Linked DNA regions of Oryza sativa Japonica Group. The protein of the gene in region 1 interacts with the protein of each later gene in a pairwise test. Links are inferred from orthologs where the notes say so. Each region holds a gene or a part of one and is shown in the gene's direction. Other genes may lie near its edges. The genes, in order: cBL-interacting protein kinase 24, nucleoside diphosphate kinase 1 and sodium/hydrogen exchanger 8.

Evidence for each region.
Region 2: the proteins of cBL-interacting protein kinase 24 (region 1) and nucleoside diphosphate kinase 1 interact in binary tests that used the Arabidopsis thaliana proteins (3 or more experiments, as listed by UniProt). The link is inferred for Oryza sativa Japonica Group from reciprocal best matches to the Arabidopsis thaliana genes SOS2 and NDPK2.
Region 3: the proteins of cBL-interacting protein kinase 24 (region 1) and sodium/hydrogen exchanger 8 interact in binary tests that used the Arabidopsis thaliana proteins (3 or more experiments, as listed by UniProt). The link is inferred for Oryza sativa Japonica Group from reciprocal best matches to the Arabidopsis thaliana genes SOS2 and SOS1.

The regions. Positions count from the first base shown.
Region 1 is NC_089040.1:24,900,981-24,911,904, reverse strand, and holds the start of cBL-interacting protein kinase 24, read left to right. Parts: upstream 1-5,153; 5' UTR 5,154-5,254; coding exon 5,255-5,440; intron 5,441-6,554; coding exon 6,555-6,617; intron 6,618-6,737; coding exon 6,738-6,809; intron 6,810-7,067; coding exon 7,068-7,175; intron 7,176-7,268; coding exon 7,269-7,343; intron 7,344-7,427; coding exon 7,428-7,481; intron 7,482-7,980; coding exon 7,981-8,106; intron 8,107-8,233; coding exon 8,234-8,323; intron 8,324-8,676; coding exon 8,677-8,799; intron 8,800-8,884; coding exon 8,885-9,004; intron 9,005-9,788; coding exon 9,789-9,905; intron 9,906-9,988; coding exon 9,989-10,045; intron 10,046-10,148; coding exon 10,149-10,223; intron 10,224-10,432; coding exon 10,433-10,528; 3' UTR 10,529-10,924. UniProt on the Arabidopsis thaliana protein: Involved in the regulatory pathway for the control of intracellular Na(+) and K(+) homeostasis and salt tolerance.
Region 2 is NC_089046.1:22,865,906-22,876,829, forward strand, and holds nucleoside diphosphate kinase 1, read left to right. Parts: upstream 1-4,415; 5' UTR 4,416-4,487; coding exon 4,488-4,700; intron 4,701-8,966; coding exon 8,967-9,017; intron 9,018-9,155; coding exon 9,156-9,242; intron 9,243-9,804; coding exon 9,805-9,885; intron 9,886-9,981; coding exon 9,982-10,094; intron 10,095-10,222; coding exon 10,223-10,272; intron 10,273-10,530; coding exon 10,531-10,598; 3' UTR 10,599-10,883; downstream 10,884-10,924. Other genes in the region: auxilin-related protein 2, read right to left, coding at 1-218, 1,073-1,656. UniProt on the Arabidopsis thaliana protein: Major role in the synthesis of nucleoside triphosphates other than ATP. The ATP gamma phosphate is transferred to the NDP beta phosphate via a ping-pong mechanism, using a phosphorylated active-site intermediate. May activate MPK3 and MPK6.
Region 3 is NC_089046.1:28,213,548-28,224,371, reverse strand, and holds the end of sodium/hydrogen exchanger 8, read left to right. Parts: intron 1-402; coding exon 403-455; intron 456-532; coding exon 533-598; intron 599-2,148; coding exon 2,149-2,193; intron 2,194-2,349; coding exon 2,350-2,405; intron 2,406-2,687; coding exon 2,688-2,872; intron 2,873-2,972; coding exon 2,973-3,023; intron 3,024-3,093; coding exon 3,094-3,201; intron 3,202-4,527; coding exon 4,528-4,762; intron 4,763-5,347; coding exon 5,348-5,650; intron 5,651-6,169; coding exon 6,170-6,267; intron 6,268-6,951; coding exon 6,952-7,083; intron 7,084-7,188; coding exon 7,189-7,407; intron 7,408-7,514; coding exon 7,515-7,721; exon of another isoform or gene 7,722-7,894; intron 7,895-8,821; coding exon 8,822-9,080; intron 9,081-9,226; coding exon 9,227-9,531; intron 9,532-9,615; coding exon 9,616-9,990; 3' UTR 9,991-10,227; downstream 10,228-10,824. UniProt on the Arabidopsis thaliana protein: Acts in electroneutral exchange of protons for cations such as Na(+) or Li(+) across plasma membrane. Involved in Na(+) and K(+) homeostasis.

The DNA.
Region 1 (10,924 bases):
AACTTTCATTTGGTTCATTTTTTTCCTTTCGTGCAGTCAAAGGACATTTCCTCCTGTTTCCTGTGTTTTCACTTCATGTCGGATTGAATAAGCAGTTACTTCAATTTTTACGGTTTTTTCTATATCCATATTTTTCCTTTCCTGTGGTTCGAAGGGGCTCTAAGACTTTGATTTATCTCTAGTTCTTCATCACAAAATGTAGAGGGGAAAAAAAGACTTTTGACCTTAGTTTCTTGACGTGCTACTTCTACGAGAACCTAAAACACACACAGGATATACAAATAATTACTCCATCTAATCATTGTTTTTTTTAAAAAAAAAGAGAAGAACTTTGCAGTATTTCATTGATAGTGAAGATAGAGCAACATCAACATGATCAGAAAGGATAAATCACCGTGTCCGAAAAAAGATCAAGAATAAACACCAACCCAACACACAACACCTCACAAAGACCGGAATATCCCTCTAGTAAGTATTCCCAATGTCATATATCTATGACAAGTGGAGGTAATATTTGATAATATTTTTTAATTACACGAGTATATGTGGGAACACACATGGAAACAAACAAAAATGCAGAATTATTTTGTACCAACATTTTTCATTTTGCCCCTGAGGGATTTTTTCCATCTTGGCTTTTTACCACTAAGGTGAAAATTAGTCATGGTTTAGCCTCACATTTGCATTTGCCCTTTGGCAAAATAAATAGACATAGTGAATGTTTATATTAGAGTGTCATATATATGCTATTTTTTATGGATAAGACTTCTGATACTAATTTAACAGCAAGCGATTTTCGTCCAATCCAGATCCTCAGTATTGCAGACTCAATGTGGGGCTGAATGTGGGGCTGAGGGTCTGTAAGGCCCATATGTCAGTGAGCACATGCAGTACTGCAGGAGCCGCATCCATTTTCATCACCTTGACTCTTAAGACGTCAAAAGCAACTCTACAAACAAATTTAATGAGCTTTAAGATGCATTTGTGAAATGGGGAGCCTAAAGAGTCTACAACTCGTCCATAACTTTAGCCAGTAGGAACAGTACAACTGAATGGTATTTCTTTAATTTTGTCTTCCTTTTCTGATATTAATTTTATCGGAATATATTCAGGGCCATATAGTCTTTGAATAGTCATGTTTTTTTATTTACCAATCACTTTTTAATATCGAGATTAATATCAAACATTCACATATACTCTTTTTTGGGTGAAACAAATAGTATTTAATTAGAGCTCCCTTTAAAACATAGAAATAGGAAAAAAAAACATAGGAACCAAGTGACATAGATTTTAAATTCCTACAGGAAGATAAACCATATGAAAGTACTTTAAGGTCCCGTTCGTTTCTCCAACTCATGAGTTGGATGAAAAAGAAGATTTATGTGACACATTTTTCAAACTGCTAAACAATACGTTTCGTACAAAAACTTTCTATATGAAAGTTGTTCTAAAATATCAGATTAATCCATTTTTCAAGTTTGTAATAATTAAAACACAATTAATCACGCGTTATTACCACCTTGTTTTACGTGAAATACTTAATCATTATCTTCATCTTCATCTTCATGAGATTCAAACACCATCTAAATATTGGTGTTTGATTGGAACACATAAGAAACATAGGATTGCAAGAGACAAAAGATTGAAAACATGAACTAGGACCTCTTGGCCTTGTTTCTCTGAAATCACCATATAATTGTCCATTTCATATAAATTTCAAAGAAAGTGATAGGATTTAATCCTTTGTTTCAAAGGCTCTCATAGGAATTATTTTATAGGATTAAGAATCCTCCACTTCAAAGCGGCCTTCAAATTGCACTTTGATGAATCTCTACCAATGTTAAAAAAATCTAACGGCCTAGAGAAGCACAAAGCATATCTAGATGAATTGTGGAATGCAGAAAAAAAAACTATCCCTAGAGAATTATTACAGTGTTTGTAGAATGAATAATTATGAATTACAAAATTATAGTTTGGTTAAAAACAAGAAAACTACTGAGAAGCACAACCTTAAAAACAAAAATCTCCATCTAAGGTTGATCAGAGGATGCATAACTATTGTTTGTACCAACATCTTACAAGTTGTATGTTGTAGTTATCTTTCTCAAGCCATAAAAATATAATCTTCGAAACAAGTAAGTAAGGAAGCCGTGAAGACAATTCCAGGTGGTGGCAATAGTAAAAAAAATATAGACATATGAGAAACACAATCATATGATGCTGAAGGTTCAATATCACATTAAAAAACTACATATTTAACAAAACTACAGATTTGAAGTGTTGTATCACAAAACTACATATTTAACAACAAATTTATCATGGAACTACAAATTTAAGGTAGAGTTTCACAAAACTACATATTTAATACTATCTCTGTTTTTTAATAGATGACGCCGTTGACTGTTTGTCACACGTTTTACCATTCGTCTTATTAAAAAAATTACATAATTATAATTTATTTTATTGTGAGTTGTTTTATCACTCAAAGTACTTTAAGCATGATTTATATATCTTATACATTTGCATAAATTTTTGAATAAGACGAATAATCCAACATGTGTTTAAAAGTCAACAATGTCATTTATTAAAATACGGAGGGGGTATTAAAGTTATCACAAAACTTCATATTGTAAAGTTTCAATCACTAGCACTGTCGTTCTGTTGGACATTGTAGTTTTGTAATTAAATTGGGACTGAAACTATAGTATTGGGATAAATTTGCTACTTAATCTACTGTTTTGTGAAACTTTATCTTAAAGTTGTAGTTCTATGATAATTTTTTTTTTGTTAAATCTATAGTTTTGTGATACACCACTTTAAAGTTTTGTAAAATTTTCTCATATCACAAATTAAGAAGACAATTTGAACTAGTGATATGGTTCACACCAGTTTTTCACGAACCATTTCTGGTTCACTTTGTTTGTGCACTGTCGATGGTTATGACCCCTACAATTATTTCTATTTATTCTAAAATGTTTCAAATTTCAGAATACGGCGAGAAGCATCCTTGATATGGCATGGAATTGTAGGGGTATGACTTTATTCATCGGGTTATATATATACAAATATAAGTATGGTTTTAGCATATCAATAAATTCGTAACTCAGAGATATCGCTAATCTCGACATGGCGATCAACGTGTTAAGACGACGCACTTGCAGTTTGTGAGTGTGTATACATGTTGAGTCGTAATCGAAATCGAAAAGAAAAAGGAAAGAAAACAATTGACGCTTACTGTCATCACAGCCATTACTGAAGTACCGATCATGCTTTCTACTCATTCGGAGAGATCACAAACTTTTATCGCATCAATCATCATCAACCGATCGAGCTAATCACCATCAAGTTAAAAAGCGAGAGGACAATAGGAGGCATCAACACCACAATAACAACACAAAAGAATTAAAAAGCGACCTCTCAAACATGAGCAAAATCTTTTTCTGTCCCCTTCTTTTTCAGGTCATGCAAAAGTAAATAAATAGAATACTTCTTCCGCATTAGTTTAAACTTGTATCTTTTTTTAAGCGCAGTAATTATAGGCATACAAATTTCTTCACCATAATATAATCATCTAAAACCAATTTATGGCAAAAGGAAAAAGCTAGAATTAACCGTGCCAATTATTAGAGAACGCAGGTGGAAGCCTTAAATAGGCAAGCAGTCAGGCATTTAGCAGCGCGCTGCGCGCAGCAGTGAAGCCATAGCCCAAAGCCACAAGCTAAAAATTCGTAGTTGTTTTTTTAATAACATCACTATTAAATATGTATTTTACGATACGGTATTAAATATATAGTTTTATGTATTTTTATGATACGGTATTAAATATATAGTTTTATGATAAATTTAATGTTAAATATATAATTTTGCGATATATCATTTTCAATCTATAGTTTCTGATAGTTTAAATGGAGTTCACTAAAATTTATTAAAAACCATGAGTAAATTTTATAAAACTACATATATTTTAAATTTTAAATTTGTAGATTTTAAATTTTAAAAGTATACTGTAAAATTTATTATAAACCATGAGTAAATTTTATAAAACTACAAACCTACATATTTAATAACAAATTTCGCAAAACAATAGAATTAAAATAAAGTATAACAAAATTCCCTTGTGGTGAAACCAGTCTATCCGGGTTTAAGTTTTAGACTTAACATGGGTGCTCGTATTTACAGCTAATTATTTTTTTAGTGGTAAGTGATGTACTCATCGACAGCAAGATGTCTATGGACTTCATCAATCTCAAGATATACTGGTCCAGTCCTCCGAAGATGCTTATAGAGGTAGGGTATGTGTGTATGTGTTTATAGACGTGAGTGTGTGTGCGTTATGGGCACCTGGATTTATACTACGCTTCTCAAAAAAATAAATTATAACAAAATTGCAGATTTAGTAACAAAATTATTATAAAACTACAACATTTTATAATTTGGAGATAAAATTAGTGCTAAGAGTTTCAACTTTGAAATCTGTAGTTTTGTAATAGCACATAATTCTATGATACTCCGCATTAAATGTTTTGTGAAAAAAATAATCTTAATTTTATGATATGACGTTTTATTCTGTACTATCTCCGTCCCATAATAATTGTATTTCTAAGATTTACATGTGTCACAAAATAATTATCATAATAGAGTACTAATTGTCTCATAATCACTTCTCATTTAAATTTATTTCTATTTTACCCTTAATTGTCCTTCTATTCTTACCTATACACCATTTAATGAGGGGTATCGTAATCTCAAATCTTAATATATGCTAATCAAAACCATATATCGAAACCATTTATTATGTTAAATGTCGATTACTCCCTCTGGTTCTATAATAATTGATGTTTTAGATAAGATTGAAGTCAAACTTTTATAACTTTGACTATCCATAACTTTAAAAGTATTTAGTTTAAAAAACAAGAACAACATATATAAAAGTATTTAGTTTAAAAGAACAAGAATAACATATATAGATTTGTCTTTCAAAACACTAAACATTCATTTATTTATTACATATATTATAATAGAAAAATAAGGTCAAATATATGTTTTTTAGATCGTGTGATTATCAAAATATTAATTAAAATAAAATCGGAGGGAGTATTATAGAACGGAGGGGGTGGAAGCCCATAAATAGGCAAGCAGTCAACCAGATGGTCGGTATTCAGGCAGCGAAGCCCCCCCAAAGCCGAGCTCGCGCGCGGCGGCGTCGTCGTCTTCCTCCTCTTCCCCCCGAGTTGGATTCGTGGCCGCGCGGCGGATGGGAGGGGAGGAGGGAATGGCGGCGGGGAGGAAGAAGCGGGTGGGGAGGTACGAGGTTGGGCGGACCATCGGGCAGGGGACGTTCGCCAAGGTCAAGTTCGCCGTGGACGCCGACACCGGCGCCGCCGTCGCCATGAAGGTGCTCGACAAGGACACCATCCTCAACCACCGCATGCTCCACCAGGTAATTCCCCCGCTTCTCCTTTCCCGCTACCCTCCACATCCGCCCCCGCCAGTGCACGAGTCCAAATCAAACTCCTCGCACTCCCCCCTTTGCTTTGATCCGGGCGATTCTTTTTACACTTTTTTTTATTTGGGTGCTCTCCGCTGCTGCTTTGCTGTTTGCCAAATGGTGAGCAGCCGCGCATCGACGAGGGCGGATGGAGAATTTCCGAATATACCTCGACAGCAATGCGCACCACTGGTTAATTCGTGCGAGTTGCGCGCAGCTCTTGCCGTTTGATGATTAAGAATAAGGAATTAACTGGAGAGCCTTAAATTTCTTGTTCTCCCAAAGGGGAAAATACCTTTTTTTTAAAAAAAAAAAAGAAAAGAAAGAAAAACTTAATTCGAGCGGTTTGTTTGGTGTTTCATCTCGTTTGGGCTGACAGAAGCTCAGTTGCAGAATTGAAATGGTTGGGTGTTGAAAGTGATTTTACCAAAATTTGGTCTGTTGTAGCTTAATTCGATTTGCGGTGTTTGCAGAAATGCTACAAATAGTTGGTTCATATGGTTATCCAACGACATCTTTTGAGGATGCATCTTGTTGCAAAGTGCTCAAGTTCTCTAATTATAGTGGTGTAAATCTTTTCCTAAGCTTCCTGATTTGCTAGTTGCTATGGAACTTGGTTTCTCTCCAATTGTGTTTGCAATTGCAAGTATATATTTGGTTTGTTTAATATAACTGTTCTATAATCCTAAGCCTACTGCTATGCCATGAAGCTTGGTTTCTCTCCAATTGTGTTTGCAATTGCAAGTATATATTTGGTTTGTTTAATATAACTGTTCTACAATCCTAAGCCTACTGCTTTGCCATGAAGCTTAGTTTCTCCCCAATTGTGTTTGCAATTTCATGTGTATAAATTTGGTTTGTTTAGTTTAACTGTTCTGCAAATCAATGATGACCACCAGTTTTACCTGATTTTGCTGTGAGCACCCATTTCAGATTTCCAGTTTATGCGAGATGTACTTTCTTTGTGTTGTTTATGCAATATCGCTAATCATGATAACAAAAAAAAGGACTAAACCATTCTAATTCGGCATTAGATTACGAACTCACTTCTCATGTTACTTGACAGATCAAAAGGGAGATATCAATAATGAAGATTGTAAGACACCCCAATATAGTTAGACTAAACGAGGTATGCTAAATATTTACTTGCCATCTGTCCTATATAACTTTTCATTATTAACAAAACTCCTATGTTGGCTATCTTAACTTCCTGTGTCACTACTTTGTTACCATTACTATGATTTTGTAGGTTCTAGCTGGAAAGACGAAGATATACATAATCTTGGAGCTTATCACTGGAGGCGAATTGTTCGATAAAATAGTAAGGAGTCTATTATATACACTACCGAAATAACGATGAGCTGCTGTTCTACTTGAACTAAAAAAATATAAGAATTGTGCCAATCTGGCAGTGTCTCCATATGTAAATTCTTTTTATCACCCATATATACCAGAAACTTTCTGTTCAGTAAATTATAGGCCCATTATATAATCCCAATAGGCAATATAAAGAAAGGAACATTTTTTTATTATTGTGCATTTTCTTAAAATATGAACCTATGCGATCAAATATCTGTAGGCTCGCCAAGGGAAGCTTCGTGAAAATGAAGCAAGGAAGTACTTCCAGCAGCTTATTGATGCCATCAATTATTGCCATAGCAAAGGAGTATATCATAGAGATTTGAAGGTCCGTTACTGATAAGAGACACTTGGCTATCATTTGTCCTATTCACTAGGTGCAATATCTCATGCTTACCCTTTTTTTGGGCATGTTATGTAGCCTGAAAACCTGCTTCTTGACTCACGTGGAAACTTGAAAGTTTCTGATTTTGGACTTAGCACTTTGGCCCAGAAAGTAAGCTCAGTAATTGCTTTTAATGATGCTGTATTTCTATCCTAGAAGTGTTCTGATTGGGATTTCTTTTTTGAGGGATTTCAGGGAGTAGGCCTTCTTCACACAACTTGTGGAACACCAAATTATGTTGCTCCTGAGGTATGATGCTCTCTCTCTCTCTATCTCTCAATGCATGGTAAATTGAACTGTACGAAATGTTTTTTTTTTGGCAAGGAGCTAATTGATTAGCTACACTACATGCAAGAAATATGTCTGCAAAATTAGACGAGTTACTCGGGATGCAATTCAATTTTCCTAGATTTTCTTTATAGATCATATTTGTATGTATGATACAAATGTCTGTTAGACTAGAAAGAGATTACCTATTTCTTTGTTTCTCTACCTGTCTCGCAGTTATTTGGTTGGTTAGTTCTCTTCAGGGTTCTAAACCTCATTTTTATGCATATTTCTGCCATCATCACTAAATAAATATCTCTAGCTGTCTTATTTCACCATGTTCAAGCTATTGTGATTTTAATTGTCTGAACTAGTTCATAAAATTGTGATATGGGCATTTCAAGCCATTTCCTTAGACAAGATTAGGGGCATTTTTTTAGTACATATATGATATGCGCTTTACCATGTGTCAATGTTTTAGGTGCTTAGCAACAATGGTTATGATGGATCTGCAGCAGATGTTTGGTCATGTGGTGTTATTCTCTATGTTTTGATGGCTGGATACCTTCCTTTTGAGGAAGATGATCTTCCAACACTGTATGATAAGGTATTGGCTTCATTACTAATGTGTGCAGCATAAGTCTTTCTTTCCCTAAATTGTTGATGTGAACACCTACATAATCGTTCTACTCAGATGAGATTGAAACCTGATATGTTTACTCCTACATTAAAAGATTACTGCAGGTCAGTTTTCATGCCCTTATTGGTTCTCTCCAGGTGCTACATCGCTTATCCACAGAATACTCGACCCAAATCCAAAAACTGTAAGTACACACACTAGGTTGTTTCATTGCATCTTCAAGAAACAAATCATCCTTTATAGTAAAGTTTACCTCAAGCTTCCAAAGTACTCTTGTCACCAATTTAATACTTCAGTCTCAGTCTGCATGGCTGCAGAAATTATGTGAGAGAATGCAGAAAACAAAGACTAATTTCTTCATATCAGTGCTGCCATATATGTTACAGAAATACTGTATACAACTATACATGACCAGTGACAGAATCTTGCTAGAATCAAATCTAATAAGTCTAACGCATAGATCTTCAACCAGCATAGAGTGTTTGCTTTTGCAAATTGCCGTCTCCAGTTTCTTAGGCCTTTTTCACTATTTTGCAGCGTATCACTATTGAACAGATAAGGGAAGACACATGGTTTAAGAAGACTTATGTAGCCATTAAACGTGGTGAAGATGAAAATGTTGATCTGGATGATGTACAGGCTGTTTTTGACAATATTGAGGTTTGTGTATGCCATTGGTATATTGCCAATTGTCTGTCACCTATTTGCTTCTATAGTTATATTTATACAACTTTTCTGGCTTCAGGACAAGTACGTTTCTGAGCAAGTGACTCATAATGATGGTGGCCCTCTTGTGATGAATGCCTTCGAGATGATTACATTATCTCAAGGTTTGGATCTTTCAGCATTATTTGATAGACAGCAGGTAATTTCATAGTTCCACTCTTCCTTTTAGTTGGTAACACTCTTGGTATGGTTGACCATTTTGCTGTTGGAGAACCATTAGCGCAATGAAATTTGAAACGCTGATGGGTTTATAGTGTACGGAGATCTGGCATGTCAGCTTATTTCATTTACTTACAAGGCTGTGAGGCACTGGGTTTAGTGACGGTTGGTCGCTCAGGGGTTTCTATCTTGTTTATAATAAATGACTTAAACGAACATCCATTTCAATTGGCGTTAGTATTATGTGGAACTATATTCTAGCCACTGTATATGGATTAACCGACTGTAGATCGATCCCATTGTCTATTCTCTTTTCTTATCGCTTAGTGTACTGGTTGGTGGCAGACGGCTTCTGTTTTTTGCCAAATTTGAATGGAAATGGAAACCCTGCATAAAAGGAGAAAAAAACATCTGATTGCTTGCTTCTTAGCTAATCTCCATGGTTTAAATTGCACCTGTTTAGTTTGTGAAGTATTTGACCACACCAACCATATATTCATTCTAGTTGCAATGTTCTCGTATAGCAGAAAGAAGAACCCACTTTTCAATGTTTGTGCTCTTACATTAGATCTTCCTAGACATGTTTAGTATGTATTTTTTTATTTTACGTGGACCATACGTCATAGTGTGCCACACGTCATGAATAACTTTGGTGTTTGCTTTATGCATTAACTGCAGTCCTCATGAATAACTTATGTTGTCTGATGCAACTTTCATCACATGGAGTGCTCATGTTGCAATAATGATGGGTTTTATATTTGTAGGAGTTTGTCAAACGTCAAACTCGTTTTGTCTCAAGGAAACCAGCAAAGACTATAGTAGCTACAATTGAAGTTGTTGCTGAGACTATGGGTCTTAAGGTCCACTCTCAGAATTACAAGGTAATTACAAAACATTTTCTTCAACAAGCAACTCATTTCTTACTCTTGATGTAATGATACTTATTGCTAACTCTTTTCTGCAGTTGCGTCTTGAAGGTGTATCTTCAAACAGAATGAGCCCGTTTGCTGTTGTTCTACAGGTAGTCTTACATTGCCCTTTGTTGGGGAACAACATTTTGCTGTTTGTCATTCACAAACTACATTTTTCATGCTGTCTTATGCTTTGAAATGCATCATTCGCAGGTTTTCGAAGTTGCTCCTTCTCTGTTCATGGTTGATGTTCGAAAGGTTGCTGGTGACACACTGGAATACCACAGGGTCTGTCTTTCCACATATCGTCTTGTATCCTAATCGAATATAGTAGCATGATTGCCTAGACTAGTTCATAAATCTAAAAAAATGACTGACACTGCCTGACTGACACTGATAACTTTCACACAATGTGTCAAAATGCTCATTCGAAGGTGCAACATCCAACTTTTCGTCCATCCGGAACGATTGCTAACTCAGATTTACACTCATTGCAGTTCTACAAGAACTTGTGCAACAAGATGGAAAGCATAATCTGGAGACCGATTGAAGTTTCAGCGAAATCCGCACTGCTGAGGACAGCCACATGCTAGCCTGGCGCTAACGCAGCTGCAACTCCTGCATCAGTGGGATTTTCAGGTTTTCAGGTTGTCAACTCCTAGCCCGTCCACCGAAGTTGCTCTTGCAGGCGCTGCATGTACCACATAGCTGAGTCAGTTCTTCAGTAGATCAGTGTACCATTCTAGTTTCATGCACCAGATGTTTTGGTAGTATTGTTAATATAGAACTGTAGATAGTCCATATAGCGGCCAATTGTGCAGTCTGTATGTAACATGGATATAGATAGGTTTCTTGTGTAGTAGTAGTAAATAAGCTGGTTATTTTGCTGCCATGAAACTGGAATGACTTGTGAACGTCGAAATGCTCTCGTGTATGTCGGATCTTCTTCACTTAGCCGTTCTCAAGGATGAGAGCAATTAATCTTGTGA
Region 2 (10,924 bases), on another chromosome or scaffold:
AGTCCTCGAATAGGCCACTGTCAACAGCAGTATTATCATGTTTTTTCCCTTGAGATTTTGCAGGCCTGCCCAGTTCATCCAAGGGATCCGTGAATATCCCTGAAGATGTATGCTTTGAGGTTGAAGTTGTACCAAGAACATCAAATGGGTCACTTGCCATGCTAGCTGGCTTAGACGTTGACATGGACACATTCTTATCTTTAGTTCCAACAGTCTCCCTATGATTCAAAAAAAAAAAGGATGAGGGAATTTATGGTAACAAATCTGTATATGATTGACATATTTTAGATTAAAAAGATCCAAATCATTCTTTAAACAAAGCAATTTCAGAACCTCGTAGATATTCTTCTTGCATAACTCACTACATATTCCATCACTATAAAGCGTTATATTTGAACCTAAGGTAATTTGCAATCAAAGTTGTGCAGCCTATGAACCTACCACATCCGGTCATTAATGCATGCTGAACATTCTCTATGAACTATGTGCAATTTAAATAAACCATAATAAACCTAGCATACACTGTATTATCCACATAACGCAATATAGAGGCCAAAGCAAGTTTGCCTGAGAAAGTGCACTGGTATCTTTAGGAAAGTAGGGAATGCTTATAAAAAGCATAGCATATGTTCCTAGGCGTTTCTAATAGTAAAATCGAAGTAGAGCCCATAAAATTCACAAGATGCCCATAAGTTTATCCACAAGATGCCATTGATATTCAATGGTCAACACAGATCATACCTAATGGAAAATAGCCTATAAATTCAATTACCAAATAGATTTGAAGATATAAGCCATCAATGAATTTCCTACCTCAACTGGTATAAGTTACCAATTCAAACAATCGCACGTGCACATTAACAAGCTAAAATCTAAGCAAATGCAACATAAATTAGATATGGGAGTCCATAATTTGTCCAACTCAACTGAATTATCACATGGTTCTCTCGTTGCCGAGTTGGCTCATACCGACAAAGCTTCCGCTTGATCCAAACTACTACTAAATTTACTCCTAGATTGCACATGTAGACAACATAATGCCCGAAATTCCCATGCAAAAAGGTGTGCTCACCTGGCACGCATCGGGATCCTCCCGCCAAACCCTGGGATCAAATCATCAAACCCAGCCGATGAAGCGGCCGGCTCAGGCTTCCTCTTCTCCTCCGGCAGCACCTCCTTCACCTCCGGCTTGCTCCCAAATCCCCCAAGCAGATCATCGTACGCAGGTGGCGGCGGCGCGTGGCTGCCACCGAATACATCGTCAAACCGCGCCGAGGAGCTGCTCTTCACCCCGGGAACCCCATCGAAGATGTCGTCATCGTAGACCGGCTTGTCAAACACCGGCATGGACGAGTGCTTCGGCTTGGGTGGGGCATCCGGGGCGGAGGGCTCCTTGAAGGAGTCAAAGATGGCGTCGAGGGAGGGCGAGGGCGCGGCCTTGGGCGGCGGGGCGGAGGGCGCCGCGGCCCCGAAGAGGTCATCGTACAAGGGCGCGGGCGGGGCGGTGGCGGCGGCGGCGGAGGACGCCGATGCGGATCTGGAGTTGGACCAGGCGGATCCGGAGGACGCGGCGGCGCGGGCGGCCGACATGGGCGCCGCCTTCCCCTGCGGGCGCAGCCCAAAGTCGCGGGCCAGGAGGCCCTGGAAGTCGTCCATGGCAACCGCAACAGCGCACAGATCACCGGATCTGACTCACGAGCTCACCCCCCGCCCACACCACCACCACCTCCCGCCGCGGAGGCTAAGAGCGAGTACGCGAGGGGGGGGGTGTGGATCTGGGGGAAAGGAAGAGGAGGAGGATCGGGGACGGCGACGAGACAGCTACCGATCTGGGGAATGAGGGGGAGCGCTCCTTGGCGGCGGCGGCGGTGGCCCGGTCGCCGGAGACGCCGCCGGAGAGATCGCCGGAGACGGGAGGGGAGAGAGAGAGACGGTGAGTCGAGGAGGAGAGAGAGAGATGGGGAGAGAGAGAAGAGAGAGAGGTGGTGTGTGGGCGATATCATCGGGACCCGTGCTTTCCCCACTGCCACGTGGAGCCCACGAGGAAAGTTGGAGATCGTGTTACGGCTACGGGGGATTCGTCCGAACCGCGTCACTGACAGGTGGGTCTGGTTTTTGTTGGTCCCACCTGTCTGTGAGGTGTGAGGGTGGTGAGGAGGGCTTGAACGTGGGAGTGCCAGCGCGTCGGTGGCGGCTTACGCGCTGTGCGGGGGGATTCGGTGTGTGGGGCCGGGGGATGTTTGGGGGGTACGTGGACGGATGTGATTGGTCGGAACCGGTGTTGTGTGGTTTGTGCGATGCGGTGTGGTGGACGAAGTGGATGGGCCCACGGGTGGGTGGGTCCACTTGTTCGGTTTGTTCCTTTCTCGCGCTCGTCCGTCTCCACCGTGCGTGATCCGCCTGAAGGCGTAAACCTTGAGGTACCGCGTTGCTGTATAGAAAGCGTCAGACTAGGTTTACTAAAATGAGGTGTTCCGTTTGGTCTATGCATGTGTACACCGGTAACATGTGTTTTGAATACAAAGTGTATCATTTGACTTTTTACGGTAAGTAGGCCAGTAGGCCTCATGCTTTTTATACTGGACGGTCGTCAGATGCCACATATACAATATGGGCTAAAGAGTTTACATAACAACGGGTGAAATGAGCTAGTACTATATAAAAAAAAGTATATTACAATAATAATTTTGTTATTGACCTCCATAAATTAGGTGTAGGAATAAGCACCTCGGCAACCACTGGACAAGTGGGCAGTGTGGAGGAAGCAGTGGCAACAATTTGACTTAGCTTTTTTCTGCACGTGAAATAAAAACATTTAACATATTATTAATTAAGTATTAAATCGATAAGCTAGATTTGTTTGATTTTTTTTAAAATAAGCTTTTATATAAAAATTTATTTTAAAAATACACCGTCTAATAATTTAGGAAACATACTCATAGTAAACGAACGAGTTGCAAAAGCTAAACTCACTTTCAAATTGGCAACAGCCAATAAGATGACCTTTTGTTGGCTCTAAAGAATAATCACCTAAATTTGAAAGCCATATACATATACAACAATATTTCTCAATGCTTTCTTTAAAAATTATTTTATCTTTTACCGAGTCTCAAATCTTTCTCTTTTACTTTGGACTAGCTCATGCACAACAGCTAGTACTTGGTGGCTATGCGCTCACACTCAACGAACATATGATTACTTCTTTCTCATTCATGTAGGATGTAGGTTGATATGGCTTGAGTGATAACGTTTGCATGTAAACTAAGGTTATTATACTTGCCGTACATATATGATACTAGGATGAAGTAGATATACATTTATGATAGATGCTCACAATTTTTCTTTGTGGAATCACACTTTTTTGGATGGCAATTGTTGATTAAGTATGCAACCATAAGGGGTGTAAGGAAAGTCAATCATTGTGCAGCTATGGTTTATTGGGCATTTGGATGGAGAGGCATCTTTTTTCTCTTCTAATGAAGTGAACATTGAAGAAAAGTATGTTATTCTTCGCTCCAAGTATCAATGCATATACTTGTAAAATAAGCATCACATCACATGTATATACATGTACCATGCCAAGAAGGTAAGCATCACCGTTTAGCGATGATTCGAGGACCAGCATAGTGTAGAAGAGCGGTGTACATCTTACCTTAATTTATAGAAGAATGGTATCTCCCGATGAATAAAACCATATAGAACACGGCTATATCAAAAACTCATACCATATTAACCTTATTGATTTCAACCAGAGAGAAACGGGACTAGGAAAAACAATCTAAAACGACTAATAACATGTTGTACATGGTAGAGGCGAGATCAATCAAGGAGTCGATAGTGGTGTATGAAGCACGTATACATTCATTTCTGTTTGAAACAAGGGTGCGTACACCCTGTGATCACAAATATTTGTGCTCTATGATAAATCTGGTTATTTTTTATTGCTTGGCCTATCAATAATCGGGATAACTTTTAGTTTGAAAACATAAAACAATATAAATAGATTTATCTCGAAAAAGTACTTTTATTGAAAAAATTCAAACATCTTAGTACTAAATTCAATCGAGCAAACTTATGACAACAAATCATTGACCATATGCTAGAGGTTGTAACAATATGAACAATCCCACTAAACGAGGACTCTTCGACATTGCATAGAAATTATTAATTTTATGTTCAGCTAACCTTAAAAAGACTACTCCTAATATAATTTTCATAAACGAACGAGGTATATAGCGACTCGAAATGAGGACAAATCAGGTCCATTTTTTCACCCCCATGCAGGAGGAAAATGAGAGGCAGGGGTATTTTCGGCACTTCACAACTCGAGAATAAACAAATCTTGAAAAATGTGACAAGATGGCCGCTGCTCTGCTCTGCTCCTGCTCATCATCTTCTTCTTCTCCGCTCTCCCTAATCCAAAAAAAGGCGGCTGCTTTGGTCGCTCGCTCGCTCGCGCGGACGTTGGAGGAGAAGCAGCTACCGGGATGGACGCCATGGCCGTGCTCGCGAGGACCTCCCGCCCCGCCCCGACCCTCCTCGCCGCGACCTCCCCCGCGGTGTCCCGGCGCCCGGCGGCCGTCTCCTTCGCCGCCGCCGCCTCCCCGGGGTCCCGCGGCCGCGTCGCGCTGAGCGCCGCGTGGGGCGGGAGGGCGGCCAGGGGGCGCGTCTCCGCCGCCGGCCGCATCGTCGCGTCGTCGGTTGGTCACCTCTCGAATTAATCCCCTTGTTTTTACCTACTCGCGTTTGGTCCAAATTGCAGGAAAAGATTAGTTCCTTTTTTGTGGGTTGAGAGGGGCAATTTGGTTTGGTTGTGATGTTGGTTTCAGACTTTTACTCTACTGTTGTATTGGCCCGAGTCGTATTTTTTTTGATAGATTGGGGAAGAAAAAGACATGCTACTAGCTGAGCACAGATGAAGATAATCGTTTTTTTGGCTCCCTATTGATTGCAAAAACTGAACAGATAATTCACTGAAATGTCCCACATATTCATACGTTGCTTTGGCCAGTCTGAATTTCCTTTTTTGTTGAGAAGAGTCAGTCTAAAATTTTAGTACCCGTTTCTGGAATATTCTATGGTTATTGACATAAGTTATTGGAAAAAAAGGAAGCGAACTTGAACTGAAAGTAAGAATTTTGCCTTGCTGCTGTCAGCGGCAGACAGTACTGATGAAAATATGGCACTTAGGCATGCTACATTGTGTTGATTGCCAAGTAGGAGTTGCTTTTGTACCGTGATGCGCATATGGAAATGGTCATGGCAATTATTTTGGATGCTCTGATAACCATCTAATTTGCTGCCTAGTTCGTGCAGTACAATTGAAGATGTTTGCTATATATGTCATTATGTAGAATTTTTGTGCCCATCAGAATTCCAAAATTTGGTCTTCATTTTTTTTACTCTTTTTGTTAATAAATGCAATGATCTCTGTGGTTCTACTGTGAGATTGTTTGAATTATTCAACAACGTGTTTCAAATTCCAGTACTTGAACAGGTCCAAGTTTCCTTAGGCAATCTCATTTTGCGATGCAGCATGACAGTTGTTGCAACTTGCAATGTCTTAAATACACAGTGAAGGGGTACTGTAGAACAATCTAAATCTGTTTATGCATAGTTGAGAAAATTGAGTTATGTTGAAGGGATGCCAAATTTATTCTTGTAGTTTTTCATTATTCCCCTCAAGCATAAAGCCATTTTCTGTTTGCTAATCTCAGTAACGTGTTAGTGCATCAATGTTGGTTTTATTAATCTTACGCATTTAATCCCTGAAATCAAAGATGCAGATCAGCAGAACTTGTAGAACTGTTTCATTTTTTATGTCCACTTATTCTTTTCATGGCACGATATATGCCTATATCTGAGAGGTATTACGGATGCTGTTTGACTTAGCTTAAGTATGGAACCTGAGTTCGTCGCTTCTATTTTCACAGAATAAGTGTGGATCTGTCTATTTATGAAACTAGGAAGGTAGCCCGCGCATTTGCGCGGGCATGTTTTTATTTCGTTTCGAAAACATGTCTAACAAAATAAGTTTAAATTAAAGTGAGGTGTTTCCCTTCTTAATTGAATGTTCATTGTATTTTTTCTTTAAAAATCTTGAGAAACTTTAATTGCTCATAAATATATATTTTTTACTAACCTGCTATCACCTTTTTAAATTGACCAAATATACATATGTAAGATAGTGATTCTTATGCGTAGGATCCTACAGTATTTTTAAGAAAAATACCAAGTTAATATGAGTCTTAAAATAAAAATTAGTAGGAAATTTCTAATCATATCGTTATACGAAATGCTTATTGATTTTGTATTGACACCTTAGAGGCATTTACATGCAGGTCGTGGAATTTAGTGTATTCGTTTAATTATCATTGACCTTCATCTCCTGATGTGTCAAAGTGAAATATGACTTGTATGTAGAGAAGAAAAAAAGTTTAAAAGAATAAAATATCGTTAGGATGTAAAATGAACTTTTTTTTCCTCTGTAACCAATGGAATAGATTGATTCAATACTACTTTTGCGGGTTAAGTGCTCCACTAAAATAGTTCACTGTGTAAAAGCTTCAACTCTACCTTCTGGGTTAAGTACTCCACTAAAGTAGTTATATGTAAACACATTACAAAAGTTATTTCTAAAGGTAGCCCATGAGTCCGAGGCAAAAGGCTCATCACATAGGAGGCTGCACATTTGAGGAACATGAGAACAATATTCTCGCGGAAATCATTTGTTTAGAATGTGATGAACATAATTGTATATTCAATTAAAAACGTTAGAAAAGTGGCTTAAAGTTGTCATTTCACATTGATTGGTTATGAAAATAATGGTATATATAAATCTTTGTGCCGATATCATTGTTTGCCAACAATCAACGAACTTGATAGTTACTTTTGGTGTTCCTTTTGGTATGTAGCAAATTGGCTACATATTTTACAACTTACTGTATCCTTTGCTGAGATGCACTTGCTTTTTTTTCTCTGTATACTTGATTGTCTCATTGTTTATTAATGGATGCCTTCGGTCCACGTGACACAATATATATTTCAAATAAAAAGCCTTCTCGAGTCTAAATTGATTTTGCAGCGTAGGAGATAGTTTATTGTTTCGTGTAGAGTGTGTGAGACTCCATGTAGCTTAGCAGGAACATAATTTTCATTGCGAAAAATAACTCCGCATGTGTGATTATTATGTAGTGTGGTATGATTGTTGTCATGATTTAAATATTTTTACTCTAAAATTTATGATTAAACATTAGGATTTTACATAATGCAAACAATCACTTTGTGATTTTATCTTAGCTAACATGCATTAGGCCTTTAGTGATTATGTTTATATTGCATAATCCTAAATATGAAGCCTACAATGCTTATCCTATTTTATCTTTGTTGTTTGAAAGAATTAGCCATTTATACAACCATGGTAGTTTAAATACTAAATAGTTTTTAACTTTTAAGTTTCTAAAATAATTGGTAGATAAAGCTTTTAGCTCGGTCATGCATGATACATACATGTAGTCCCAAGCTAATTTGCCCCCTCACGCTGACAGTGTCCTGAGTAATGTCGATGGGGGCAAAATTGTGACCGATCAAAGTCTTAATTTTTTTCAGTTCAAGAAAAAAAAATGAATCTCAATTTTTTAGACTACTATCCAATGTCTTGTACTCTATATGTACGAACGAAGCTATAACCGATCTCTTTTCCTTTGCGTTAGATCAATGTATATGGCCCACACCATTAATTTATATATATCTAATGGTTAAAATTAATAGGTCCACCGATTTGAATGAAAACCGATGGTAAGATATTTTTCTTTTTTTTAGAATTTATAGGATTTTACCTAATTTATTATAGCGTAAAGTGATGATTTAGGAGCATTTGTAGAATATGCATGTGGTGGCTTGATAATGTTTATTGGAAGTATAATGGACTTTTAGTATTTTTTTAAGTTTCAGAAAGAAAAATGAATCTCGATTTTTTAGACTACTATATAATGTTTTCTTCTTCCGTAAGTGTACGAACGAAGCTATAACCATTCTCATATCCTTTACATTAGATCGATGTACGCATGGTCCACACCATTATATTATTTTATATAGATCTAATGGTTAAAATTAATTGGTCTAACATTTTAAATGAAAATCAATGCTAAAGATATTTTTCTTTTTTTCTTAGAATTTGTAGGAATTTTTCTAATTTATTAAAGAGTCATGTGGCAATTTATAAGCGTTTATAGTATATAATATAATATAAGACACGTATAATTATATTATTTTGACTTACCGGGGAGTAATTTATTTTCTAATTTAATTATTGTGTAATTATGTTTGATGATAAAATCTATATCGTTATTTTTTCATAATATTTTGGAATTATTTAAATGGCACGTAAAAGTCAGAAATTGTAACCAAAACATGACATTCTTTTTGAAAGATTAAATATAAGCAGTTTAGATGTTATATTTGTTTAATTGTCAATTGTGCTCACCTATTGTGCTTTCTACCTAATATTGCATAAGAATAGGAATAAGAAATAAGAGAGGGAACAGAGGAGGAAGAGAGGAGGCATACGGGTCCAAGTACGTACGTATACCTACTACGACTCCACGTAGGTACAATACTGATAGGGATTGGAGGATTATTTTTTCTTTATAGATTGATCTAATGGTTAAAAATATCGGGTCCACCAGATTAAATGAAAATCAACGGTTGGGTGTTGTCTTTTTTTTTAGAATTTTAAGAATTTCTATAATTTATCATAGTGCCAAGTGGCAGCTTGGGAGCGTTTGTAGGGTACACGTGGCAGTTTGGGAGCATTTGTAGGAAGTTTAATGGACTTTTATTATATAATAGATGTCAGACATTTCTGATTACCTCAATATTCTGTTATTTCAGTTAGAAGTTGAGAACTCTCCACTTAGGTGATCTCTTCCTGATCAACCATAAGATTAAATCTATTTTTTCTGTAGGTTGAGCAATCCTATATTATGATCAAGCCTGATGGTGTTCAGCGAGGCCTGGTATATCATTTTACTTACTTTTCTAACTTTAGATTCCATTACTTTTTTTTGACGTAATATATTCCATTACTGAATACTGTAGTTCCATTATAGTTTCTTTCAGCTCAGATAAACACTCCTGTCGATTCGTTCATATAGGTTGGCGAGATTATTTCCCGTTTCGAGAAGAAAGGCTTTGTGTTGAAGGGCTTAAAGCTTTTTCAGTGCCCCAAGGACTTGGCACAGGTTTGCCTCTTAATATCCACCGTTTTCTTCAAAAGTAAAGTGTTTTCTTCCACCATCTGGGGACTCACCATTTAATCATCGTTGGAGAGCAATGGTGCCATTTCAAAATATACCATGGTTGCGTGGCATGACAAAATATCATGCCCAGTTTATTTTCTTGGTAGTGGGCAATTTGCCAAGACTTGAATGGACTTATTTGAGGAGATCACAGTTTTATTGTTGTGAATGGAAATTTCACAATCGAATAAATGATAAATAGCATGTCTGTCTGGTATGTTATTTCAGGACAGCCTTGATCATCCAAAGTACTCATTCTTTGCTGACTGCTGAGATAGTTCTTTCGAGTCACTTTTTCTTGTATTCAGCCAACGAAAAGTGATCCATTAAATATCCAAGCAGCTGGAGAAAATTTTGTAGAAATGCCATCGAAATTTGTGGTTAAACCTGGTTTCTGCTCACCGTCAGAGCATACAGTATTATCTTTGTTTTCACATAGGAAGGGAATCACCAGGAGTATATTATGTTTAATCAACGAGCTGCTAATTCTCTCTTATGTGCACAGGAGCACTACAAGGATTTGAAGGAAAAACCTTTCTTTCCCGGTCTGATCGAGTACATAACTTCTGGCCCTGTTGTTTGCATGGTATATATATTTGTAAAGAACCAAACATATTTGTAACTCTGCACTTTGATCAGTAAACTGTTTTCAATTAAATTTATTGTTGTTCTGTTCTGTAAGGCTTGGGAGGGGAATGGTGTTGTTGCATCAGCTCGCAAGTTAATAGGAGCTACTAATCCCCTTCAAGCTGAACCAGGGACCATACGGGGCGATCTTGCAGTTCAAACAGGAAGGTTGGAATCAAACAACCTTTCATGTTTTAACATTATTATATCTACCACATCTTTCACATTTTAGCGGATATCTCTGCATATATATCTCTGTCAAAGAAATTAAATTTCTTATGGACTCTGCTTTCCAGGAATGTTGTCCATGGAAGTGACAGTCCTGATAACGGCAAGCGTGAAATCGGTAAGTTCTACTCCTTTTCCCAGTAGTCATGGTATAACAATATAAGGTGCATAGAATCATGAGTTTTAAGTACTACGAAGAATGAAGTAGTTGACACAGTGATTAGGATCATGTTTTTTTTTTTTAAAAATAATAATTCAGCAGCACTATGTGCTTAGAGACGTGCATGTTTGTTAGCTTGGACTTAACTTTATTGTGACCTGCTATTTTGTTCTTTACAAACAGATGATAAACTCATTACACATTTTCTGTCTGTAGCTCTATGGTTCAAAGAAGGCGAACTCTGCGAATGGGAATCTGTTCTGACACCATGGCTTGTAGAGTAATGCTCCCAGATCAGTGCAAGAACTGGATGCAGTGCTTGTTCTTGATTTGAGGGGTTATGTATGAGTTCAGATCAGCAGAGTAAAGTAGCTTATACCAAAGCTCGGCCTTCTCATGACTGTACACCCTGACATTCCCCTTTTTTGTAATACCCAACATTCCCTTTTTTGCGTTTGACCGATTACTCTCTGTTGTCAAATCTCCTGGCATGTCTGTAATTGGTTCAGAACAATACCAGCAAAGCTCCAACTTCCAAGTCATTATGCAGATGAATGCGTTCAAAATTATCTCAGGCAGTTGACCGATGACTGATTGTCACTGTTGTACT
Region 3 (10,824 bases), on another chromosome or scaffold:
TGAATGGATCTGTGAAGAAATTATTTGAACATAGGTTGTAAAATGAGCATATGCTAAGAAATGTAAGGGTACATGTCTGTACATTATAATGTGCCTATAAATGGATCAGTCATCATTTTTACTAGCCCAATCATTTGTCTTCTTCCCATATTTTTGCAACTACTGACTGCATGTATATTTTTCTGTGAGCATTTGCACATATAACATTAACATATCAGTACCCCTGATTATTGTTAGCTTGTTTGATCACCTGTGCAAGTATCCATCATGGACTGGTTTTTCTGATACCTTCTGCAATAGGAATTCGTCTGTGTTTTGGATAAAATTATGCCAATTAATAATAAGTGTTTATTTCCCTCTATTTTCTTGGAGTCTTCTCATTTACTAATGTGGTTATATCAGGCACAAGATGCACTGGAGGTCTCTGGTGTTTTGACCGTCATGACACTGGGAATGTTAGTAAAACATTTGTTGGCGACCTATTCTGTGTATCCCTTAAATACCATCAAATATTGACACGTCATATGTCCAGGTTCTATGCCGCTTTTGCAAAAACTGCTTTTAAGGGTGACAGTCAGCAAAGCTTGCATCATTTCTGGTATGTCAATCAATATGTGTCACTTTAACAAATATTAAATTATCAAGTCATGATCAATCTTAACATTCCATCAGTTCTGTAAAGCTGTTTGATGTTCATGCTTCCTACATTTACATTAAATTCTTGTGCTCTTGTAGAGCTACTATGCTGCATTGTTGATTTTGTTGGATTCAGTAGCCAGTCATTTCACTTGCATGCCATTATTGTTTTTCTCAGTGGTGGATCTATAAATGTTTTAGAGCCTGGGCAAGTAAAAATAGATGATGATAAAATAACATAAAATAAAATTCATTCAACTCTATATACCATTTACACAAGCAAGAGTGCAAGTTCTGAATTAGGAGAGGAAAACCAGTAGAAGGGATTATCAATGAATGATTGTATACTTGTACATTGTTGATAGACTAGACATATATACAGAGTAGTGACATGTGCTACCCATAATTCCTTTATAGCTGTTCTGTTTCCTTTTGCTAGTTGTGTATTTTGGTTGGCTAATCTAGGAGGCTAATGAGTAACTAAATACAAAATTTAACGCTGCATGCGGTGGCGGAGCCCGGCAACTGCTCAGGGTTGCTGGGCCTTGGCTCCGCTGCTGTTTTTTCTGGTTGCACCAAAACAATGTTAGTAAGAAATCTGCAGCAAAATGAGATGTAAATCCAATTTATAAGTGGAAGACCAACAAGAAAGCAGATTAGAAAATCCCTCGAGTGGCATGCAACTTAATTCACTGCTCTAAGACCAAATTACACCCCATTATGCAGTCCATTACTCATTTGGCCATAAGATACAACCCAGGATATGTCCTAGTGGCTAATGGATATGTTGCGGTCCTGAACTTTTCTTTTCTTTTCCTTTTGTTTCCTCTTTTTTAGCCCTGTGCTGAACTTCTATGAAACTCCTGTAAAAATCGTCTGCGTTTTCATTAATTAAAGCGGGGGAGATGCTCTCCCTTTCTCCAAAAAAAAAAAGATACAACCCATGTGTGTCCCACCATTAGCATCATCACAGATCAACTCATCTTACCAAGATCCTGAAGTTAATACAAAGGATTGGAGCGAAAAATCATAAGATCATTAGGGCTAGAGCAAAGAGGATGAATAAATAGCACAAAGTAAGGTTAGTTTACTCGTTCCAGAGCAGTTTCCATACAAAGAACGCCGGTCAGGGACATACATCAAGGGATATCTCCTGTTTTGCCCCTTTTGATTTATCCATCACTAAGGAAAATTTGGGCTCAAGGCTGACCCTTTGATGTAGTCTTTTTGAAGGTAGTTTGATGTGGTCCTATCTTGATGGGCAATGCCCTGAAGTTTCTCATTTAGCAGGTTTGTTTTGTAGACAGTAACTAACCAAAATTTAAGAAAAGCAAAAACATAGTGCACTGATATTCCTGTCATTAACTGACAAATAATATGGTTATTATTGAGGTACCAAATGTACCTTGTAATCTATTCAGGTAGGAAAGCTATTTCTTTTTTTATTACTTTTCCGAGGCATTCTGATGTAAGCTTCATGTCTATATTTAATTATACTTTTCTTGTATTCAGGGAAATGGTTGCTTATATAGCAAACACACTTATATTTATACTGAGGTATTGTCAAGCTCTTCTACCCTTGCTCTTGAAACATTCTCTGATCTTTCTTTCTTCTTTCTGGCTGAAACCAAACTGCTTGCTTTTATTTGTTGTAATCCTATGATTTATATATAGATACAGTTATAATGTTTCTTACACGTGAATTCCCCACAGTGGGGTTGTTATTGCAGATGGAGTACTAGAAAATAATGTCCATTTCGAGAGGCACGGTATTTATCTCCATGTACCTTTTGAAATTTACCTTTTATGTTTCCAATAAAGAAACCACAAAAGCCTAGTTCAAGTCTGTGGTCAGATGACCAGAGCCTTCCACGACTATTGATAAATGCAGGATAACCAGGAGAATGGCTAGAATGCGCTGCTTCCTTTTAGAGGAGGGAGAGACCGCAGACTTGAAAGATACCTTGCAATTGCTGACATGGACATTCTGGAATAGAACATTGTTTCTGAATTTCTTATTTATGCTTGCATTTTTTTAATTACTGTTTCAGGTGCTTCATGGGGCTTCCTTCTTCTGCTCTATGTATTTGTGCAAATTTCTCGGATATTAGTTGTTGTTATTTTGTATCCATTGTTGCGCCACTTTGGGTATGGTTTGGACTTGAAAGAAGCCACAATTCTTGTTTGGGCGGGACTGCGAGGGGCTGTTGCTCTGTCTCTATCATTATCTGTTAAGGTAAGTTATTATCCTTGTACCAGCCAACCTTTTATTGTTTCATTGTATTTACATTATTATACTATAAATATTTCTGAATCTTCTACCCTTTTTTTACTAGCGTGCTAGTGATGCAGTTCAGACCCATCTGAAACCAGTTGACGGAACAATGGTATGCTGTTTTTTTTATGGAGAAGTTTGAAATGTTTGATTTTACCTTTACTAATGCTACATATTTGCAGTTTGTGTTCTTCACTGGTGGCATCGTGTTTTTGACATTGATTTTTAATGGTTCTACTACACAATTTTTGTTGCATCTACTTGGAATGGACAGATTAGCAGCAACAAAGGTTAGCTTCATGAATTGTTACCTATGATTATTTTTTTCCTGTTGGGATAATTTTTTTGCTTGTCCATAGATTTCTCTGCTTTATAAACTTTCTGATTTCTAGTTGGTACCAATCTGCCATCTCCTTTGTATTAATTAGTGAGTTGGCAAATTTAAGGTTTTACGTGAGATATATTTTAGTCTAGTACCTTTAAGTCCAACACTTTTTAAATATTTAGGGTTCTCAGTTTTGCATTTGTACATAACTATGATCATGTTGCCTATAACGTTGAAAGACATTTTTTTTATCTGGAATGATTGATTTTTCATTATCCTTGACAAGAACTGTAATGACCATCAGCACCAAAGAATCAAAGGTTCTACCTGTGAACATCCTCTCCAAACAAGCATTCTGTTCAACTCTTTTGATTAGCAATTGTAGCCAGTGGCGAACCTAGAACAAAAATTACCGGGTGTTCTATACATACTAATGATCTAACCATTGACTAATTTATTAAGATGGCATAAAACAGCTAGAGATGAACAATCTATCCGGGGTCATGTGCACCCAGGAACATGCATGTAGGTATGCCCCTGATTGTAGCTTCTCCCTGCTTTTCTTGGCAGTTTCTGATCTTTTAGAACTTGTAAATGCTTTTCTAATATTTCTCATTTTATATAATATTTTCCTGTGGAGAACTCCCTTACTTTTCTCCTAGAAAAGATGGTTGAACTATGCATAAATTCAAAAGTTAGTCGCAGATCCTTTCTTACTGATTACGGTTGTTTGTAAAGCCTCTTCCATCACCTGCTCCAAAGTCCAAGCTGGATAGGTTTTCTTTGGTGTTGTCATGTTGATTTTTAGGTTGTATATCTCTTATTCCTATATAGTTAGTACCCACTAAGTCATAATTGCTATAAAGCTTGCACCACAGCTCGCCACGTCATCGGCGCATATTAACTGTTAGATCTTGATCGGATGGCCTTCAAACATCGCATGTATCCAGTCTGCTATTGGCAAAAAAAAAAAAGGAACGAACCTCTCCCTTGACGTCTCCGCCCAGTGGGCTGTTGGCCCAGCAAGCAACAGAAGAAATTTTTTCCGTTCTTTCTTAGCAGCCAACGGACGAAAGCGGCCCACTTGATAAACACATACTCCACATTATTTTGTCGGAAAAAAAACACGCAACCAATGAGTAAAAAAAGGAAACACACGAAGATTGATCAACAATATTTCTCAGTAAGAATTCTCAAATCCCGCTGCAACGCGCGGGGGTATCCACTAGTGATATAGTAAGTTATTCCCTTCACACTCCAGGTAAAGATTCTAACATTATTGTTATTGCAGCTTCGCATATTGAATTATACAAAATATGAAATGCTAAACAAGGCATTGGAGGCTTTTGGTGATCTTAGGGATGATGAGGAACTTGGTCCTCCTGCTGATTGGGTTACTGTAAAGAAATATATCACATGCTTGAACGACTTGGACGATGAGCCTGTGCATCCTCATGCTGTTTCTGACAGAAATGATCGCATGCATACCATGAACTTAAGGGACATCCGTGTGCGGCTTCTAAATGGTATGTTATCACCTTACATTATAATGTGCTGATGGTGGAATTTGATACAAATATTTCCTGGAGATCGAAATAGAACACATATTAATACACTCCTTTGTTATATTCTTGTCTCCTGTTATCATTTAGCTATTTCAAGTTGGGCTTTAAGTTTGATGTCATGTTTTATGTTCAATATCCCTTTTAGTTACTTTGCTTAGTTGCTCTCTAATTTTTCCCAGTAACATGCTATATGGAAAGCTTAGGTATGTTTACTAAGGATGCATCGTTTACTTTTTACATTGCCTGCTGGTTATTAATCTGTTTGGTGATATACTTGAACCTTGGGCGCTTCCTTTGGTTTAGTGATACGTTTGGTACTTGGCTTTCAATAAGATATATCATCTCTTTTTCTGATGAAACTTTATCAAATTGATGGATTAGAGTTTCTTTGACTTATTTGCTTCCTATCTTTTCATTTTTTACACCCATTTTGTTGCATTCAGTTTTTTATTCCCACATAGTTCAATTAATATTTCTCTCACTGTTCTATATTCTCTAGATAAGCTGCTTAGATTACGGAGTTCTATGCTGAATGAATAAAAACAGGTGTCCAAGCTGCTTACTGGGGAATGCTTGAAGAAGGACGAATAACTCAAACCACTGCAAATATTTTAATGAGATCGGTTGATGAAGCTATGGATCTTGTTCCTACCCAAGAATTATGTGACTGGAAGGGTTTGCGGTCCAATGTCCATTTTCCAAATTACTATAGGTTCCTTCAAATGAGCAGGTTGCCACGAAGGCTTATCACTTACTTCACAGTAGAAAGACTGGAGTCAGGATGTTACATCTGTGCTGCATTTCTCCGTGCTCATAGAATCGCAAGACGGCAGCTACATGACTTTCTTGGTAAAAATTTCATGTTTGTTTGTGCATATTAGCTGCCATTTATTTGGAGGTCTAATTCCAGAAAGAGTAAAAGACAAATCCACCTGAATACATGATATGCATATGAGATATGAGATATATGTGGGTGGAACATATTCTTGGTGTACATTGCTTTAGTTTATAAATGCAATGAAGATGCAATATATATACTCTAGCAAGGGTTATGCTTCCTATAATTCTGTAGGGTTATGCTTCCTACAGAATTTAGTGTCAAACTGGCCAGGTCCTGATGTGTTGGTATAGCTTTTGTTTCTGAAAAACTGCTTTATAGAGTGAAATTTGGATGGCTTAAATGATCTCGCAAGGAGTAAGAATGAACCTGTCAAGTTTACTTTGTTTTGCAAGTTACTACTATGGAAGCCTGGTTGAAGGCATCTTTCTATTAATAATTTGGAATGCACCTTCATTAGTACAGATGACTTGCATGTCATGCTAGTGCTCTTTGAACCTGTTTCCATTCTTATGCACTTCTTTCTTCAGGTGATAGTGAGGTTGCCAGAATTGTTATTGATGAAAGTAATGCTGAGGGAGAGGAGGCTAGAAAATTCTTGGAAGATGTTCGTGTTACATTCCCTCAGGTTTGTGGTTACAGTTTGTTCCCATCATATGATTATTAATGGAGTTTACAGTCATCAGCATAAAATCTTCATACCCAATTCTACTAACAGTTTTCTTTTTCCAAAACATGGACATAATGGCACTATGTCCAGGTTATCATGCCATGTGTCATAAATTATACTTTATAAATTATGAAGTTGTTGTGCTGGGACCTGCCAGTCTAACTTCTTTCCTGAAATAGCTGGTGGAAGGAAAATATAGTACTTCTGTCATAAGCTGGTGAGCTGAACTGCAATGGGACTAGTTTTGGTTTTTACATGTACTTATATGACACCAAAATGCTGAGAAATGGTTTAAGTTTGGATTGGTGTATTTGATGTGGCATATCAATTGTACTGTCTATTGCAAAATTTATGTGAAGATCCTACTCTCCAAACAAACAAAAAATAGTACGTAGGATGTGGCATATCAATTGTACTGTCTATTGCAAAATTTATGTGAAAATCCTACTCTCCAAACAAACAAAAAATAGTACGTAGGAAGTTTCATTAAGAAGATGAAAGGCAACAAAATTCAAACTGTTATTAAAATATTTATTTATGGTTCAAAAGACGAAGTATTTACTTAGTGTTTCATATTTAAGGTGATCTTTATATTAACCAAGAGAAACACCACAACATAAATAAAATGTTCCACAATTTCAGGTGCTTCGTGTGCTGAAGACTCGACAAGTAACATATTCGGTATTGACCCACTTGAGTGAGTATATTCAAAATCTCCAGAAGACTGGGTTGCTGGAAGAAAAGGAAATGGCCCATCTAGATGATGCTTTGCAGGTGGCTGGAATATTTTGCTTGTCTTTTAATTATTACTATGCTGACTTTGTTGTTTCAGTTACAAATCACAATGGAAATACTAATTCTAGTCAATTCACTTGGCAGACAGACTTGAAGAAGTTCAAGAGGAATCCACCATTGGTAAAAATGCCAAGAGTCAGTGATCTTTTGAACACTCATCCGTTAGTTGGTGCACTGCCTGCTGCGATGCGTGATCCTTTATTAAGTAGCACAAAAGAAACAGTAAAAGGACATGGCACAATCCTTTATAGAGAGGGCTCAAGGCCAACTGGTATATGGCTTGTTTCGATTGGAGTAGTAAAGGTCTGTTTCTGCTTTAAGACTACCTTATCACATTAGAGTTGAGGCTTACTGTACTTTCCAGTTTGTTCCATGATGAGCATGTACATCTCTATCTCCTTTTTCCACAGTGGACAAGTCAGAGATTAAGCAGCAGGCATTCATTGGATCCAATTTTATCACATGGCAGCACTTTGGGCCTGTATGAGGTGCTGATTGGAAAACCTTATATCTGTGACATGATTACAGATTCTGTGGTGCACTGCTTCTTCATTGAAGCTGAAAAGATAGAGCAATTGCGTCAATCAGATCCTTCTATTGAGATTTTTCTGTGGCAGGTATCATAAGCTTAACCCAATAAATTATGTGGTTCTTTGGCTTCTTTATTTTATGGTTTTGGAAATCCGGATATCGTCGTAGAGCCAAACAACACTGCAGGGAAGATGTAGAACATACTGACCGGTACATCAACCAGTGTTCAGGAAAGTGGCCCTTTCTGTCGAACACTTAGGTACTGGTTTTTCTTTAAACCTGCAGTTTAGGTTCTAAAGAATACCCCAATCTGCCTTCCCGGTTTAAGCTGAAAGGCTATCTATGCTTCTCAAATATCACAGCATCTTAGGAAGAAAACATTTTAGCGTTGCAAGAGCTGGATGTCTGAAAACCTCTCAAGATCTTGGAATATACCAAAAAAAACTACACTGTTCTATTTTTCATATGCTTCCTGATTCCTTTTTAACGTATAAAAGTTCATGATTCTTTTAATCAGAAAGGTAGGACCTCTGCCAATTTAGTTACAGGATAGAGTTTAGAGATAGATAAAGTTACAAGGAGGAAAGGGCCTGCCAATAGGAAGAGCTGCTAGAGGCAAGGACTGCCAGAAAGTACCTGCACCATAACATTAATTGCCGAGGGCCCATGCATATTTGCCCAGTTCAACTTTGGGCCTGTTTAGTTCGCGAAAAGAAAATTTTTGGGTGTCACATCGGATGTTTGACCGAATGTCGGAAGGGCTTTTTGGACACGAATGAAAAAAATAATTTCATAACTCGTCTGGAAACCGCAAGATAAATCTTTTGAGACTAATTAATCCGTTATTAGCACATGTGGGTTACTGTAGCACTTGTGGCTAATCATGGACTAATTAGACTCAAAAGATTTGTCTCACGATTTCCCCCCTAACTGTGCAATTAGCTTTTTTTCATTTATCTATATTTAATGCTTCATGCATGTGTCTAAAGATTCGATGTAATGTTTTTGGAAAAAAATTTTGGGAAACTAAACGGGGCCTTTATTATCAAAGCACTTCACTTTTTTTTTCTTGGTTATTACAGTGAGGAGAAGATAACAAAATCAAACCGACATGTTCTCTTTTAACTAATTAATCTGTGGAACTTGCAAGCTTATATGTTCATATTAATATTCATGGAAATTTCAGGAAAGTGCTCTAGTCGTTGCCAGGCTTTTGCTCCCTATGATGTTTGAGAAAATGGCAACACATGAGCTCAGGGTTCTCATCACTGAAAGATCTACTATGAACATCTACATTAAGGGCGAAGAAATTGAACTTGAGCAGAATTTCATTGGCATCTTACTGGAAGGATTTTTGAAGACCAAGAACCAAACTTTGATCACACCTCCAGGGTTACTGCTACCACCAAATGCCGACTTGAACTTATTTGGTCTCGAGTCATCAGGTTATTAAGCTATCCTCAGACACTCAACATGAGATGCCTGTTCTTTTTCTTTTCCCTCAAAAACACAATGTTGTAGAGTGCTCTGAGTGAGTTCTCTGCCTCTTGCTGTTTTGTCGTCGGGATGACTCTTGCTGTTTTGTTTGCAGCTATAAACCGCATTGACTACTGTTATACAGCACCCAGCTATCAGGTGGAGGCTAGAGCAAGGATTTTGTTCGTTGAGATAGGGAGGCCCGAAATAGAGGCGGATCTGCAAAGGAGTGCGTCATTGATATCTCAAACCCTTGAACTGCCTCGGACACAAAGCAAGGAGCACAGCGGTTTGCTCAGCTGGCCGGAAAGCTTCAGAAAATCCAGGGGAGCTCAGAATGGTGCCAGCTTAACTGAAATCAGAGACCATCCAGCAAGCTTCTCTGCAAGAGCATTGCAGCTGAGCATGTACGGGAGCATGGTACGTAGAATAAGGAAAGCAAAATTATGGTTTTACATACAGTAGTATTTCTGATCAAAGTCAGCTGATGGATTTGGTTTGCAGATCAATGACATGAAGTCCGGTCAGGGTCAGGGTCAGAGGAGGCAGAGGCATCGTCACACGAAAGCAAGCTCTAATAAAGCGCACAGCTCGTCGTACCCAAGAGTGCCTTCGAGGTCGTCCAACACGCAGAGGCCCCTGCTGTCTGTGCAGTCCGAGGGTGCCAACATGACGACGGCAAGGCAGGCTGCTGCTGCTGGTGCTTCTCTGCCGCCGGAGCCGGAGGAGGCAGGACGGCGGCGGCGGCGACAACGCAAGGCAATAGAAGAGGACGAGGACAACTCGAGCGATGAGTCGGCCGGGGAAGAGGTGATTGTCAGAGTCGATTCTCCCAGCATGCTCACCTTCCGTCAGCCCTCCAGCGCTGCTGATCGATGATCAACGTCGCAACCCAAGTAATTGTTGGACCAGCCAATGGAAATACTCCTCTTATATTTAATACTAATATTTGCAATGCATTTGCTCATTTCATTCTGTTCTAGCGTATACATATGCATCTTATATTTGCATGCTTGGCTCGTGCGTTTACCTCTAGTACAGTAATAAAGAAGAATCCCTGTTCGTTCCGATGTTGAGCTACATGATTATTTATATAGATATATATTTTTGAGATGATGAGCTGCCTACTTGACTGATTAATTTTGTTTTGCATTTTGCTCATGACTCATGAGCCAATGACACAATAACACTGCAAATTTCATAATTGCTCACCGTAAATTTTATAGGTAACATAATTGTGAATTCCATAACTTGCACTGCATATTTCATAGGTGAGAGCCTGAATGCCTGATAGTGCATGGGTTGTACCCTTTTAACAGTTTAGCTATATGTTGGTTCGGTGTATCCCTATTCCTTTCCATTCGAGATGGCCACACCACAAAGCCACCCGATGGCTTTGAGGGATCACCGATTTTTTTTCCGCTACACTCTTTATGTATATCACTTTAAAAGTTATCAAAAAAAATTTAAAACAGTTTACCCATCAATATATGTTATATATTCTATAAATATACATGCTCAAATTCGACTTGCATACGGTGTTGTTTGTTGTTTGAGTTCAATGAATATAGAGATGTTTTGAGTTCAATGAATATAGAGATTAAGTACGGGCATGTGTAAAACAAGAAAGTCATTAGCGTATGGTTAATTAAGTTTTAGTTATTTCAAACTTGAAATTTTGGATTTATCTGACATTTAAAGCAATTTTTATAT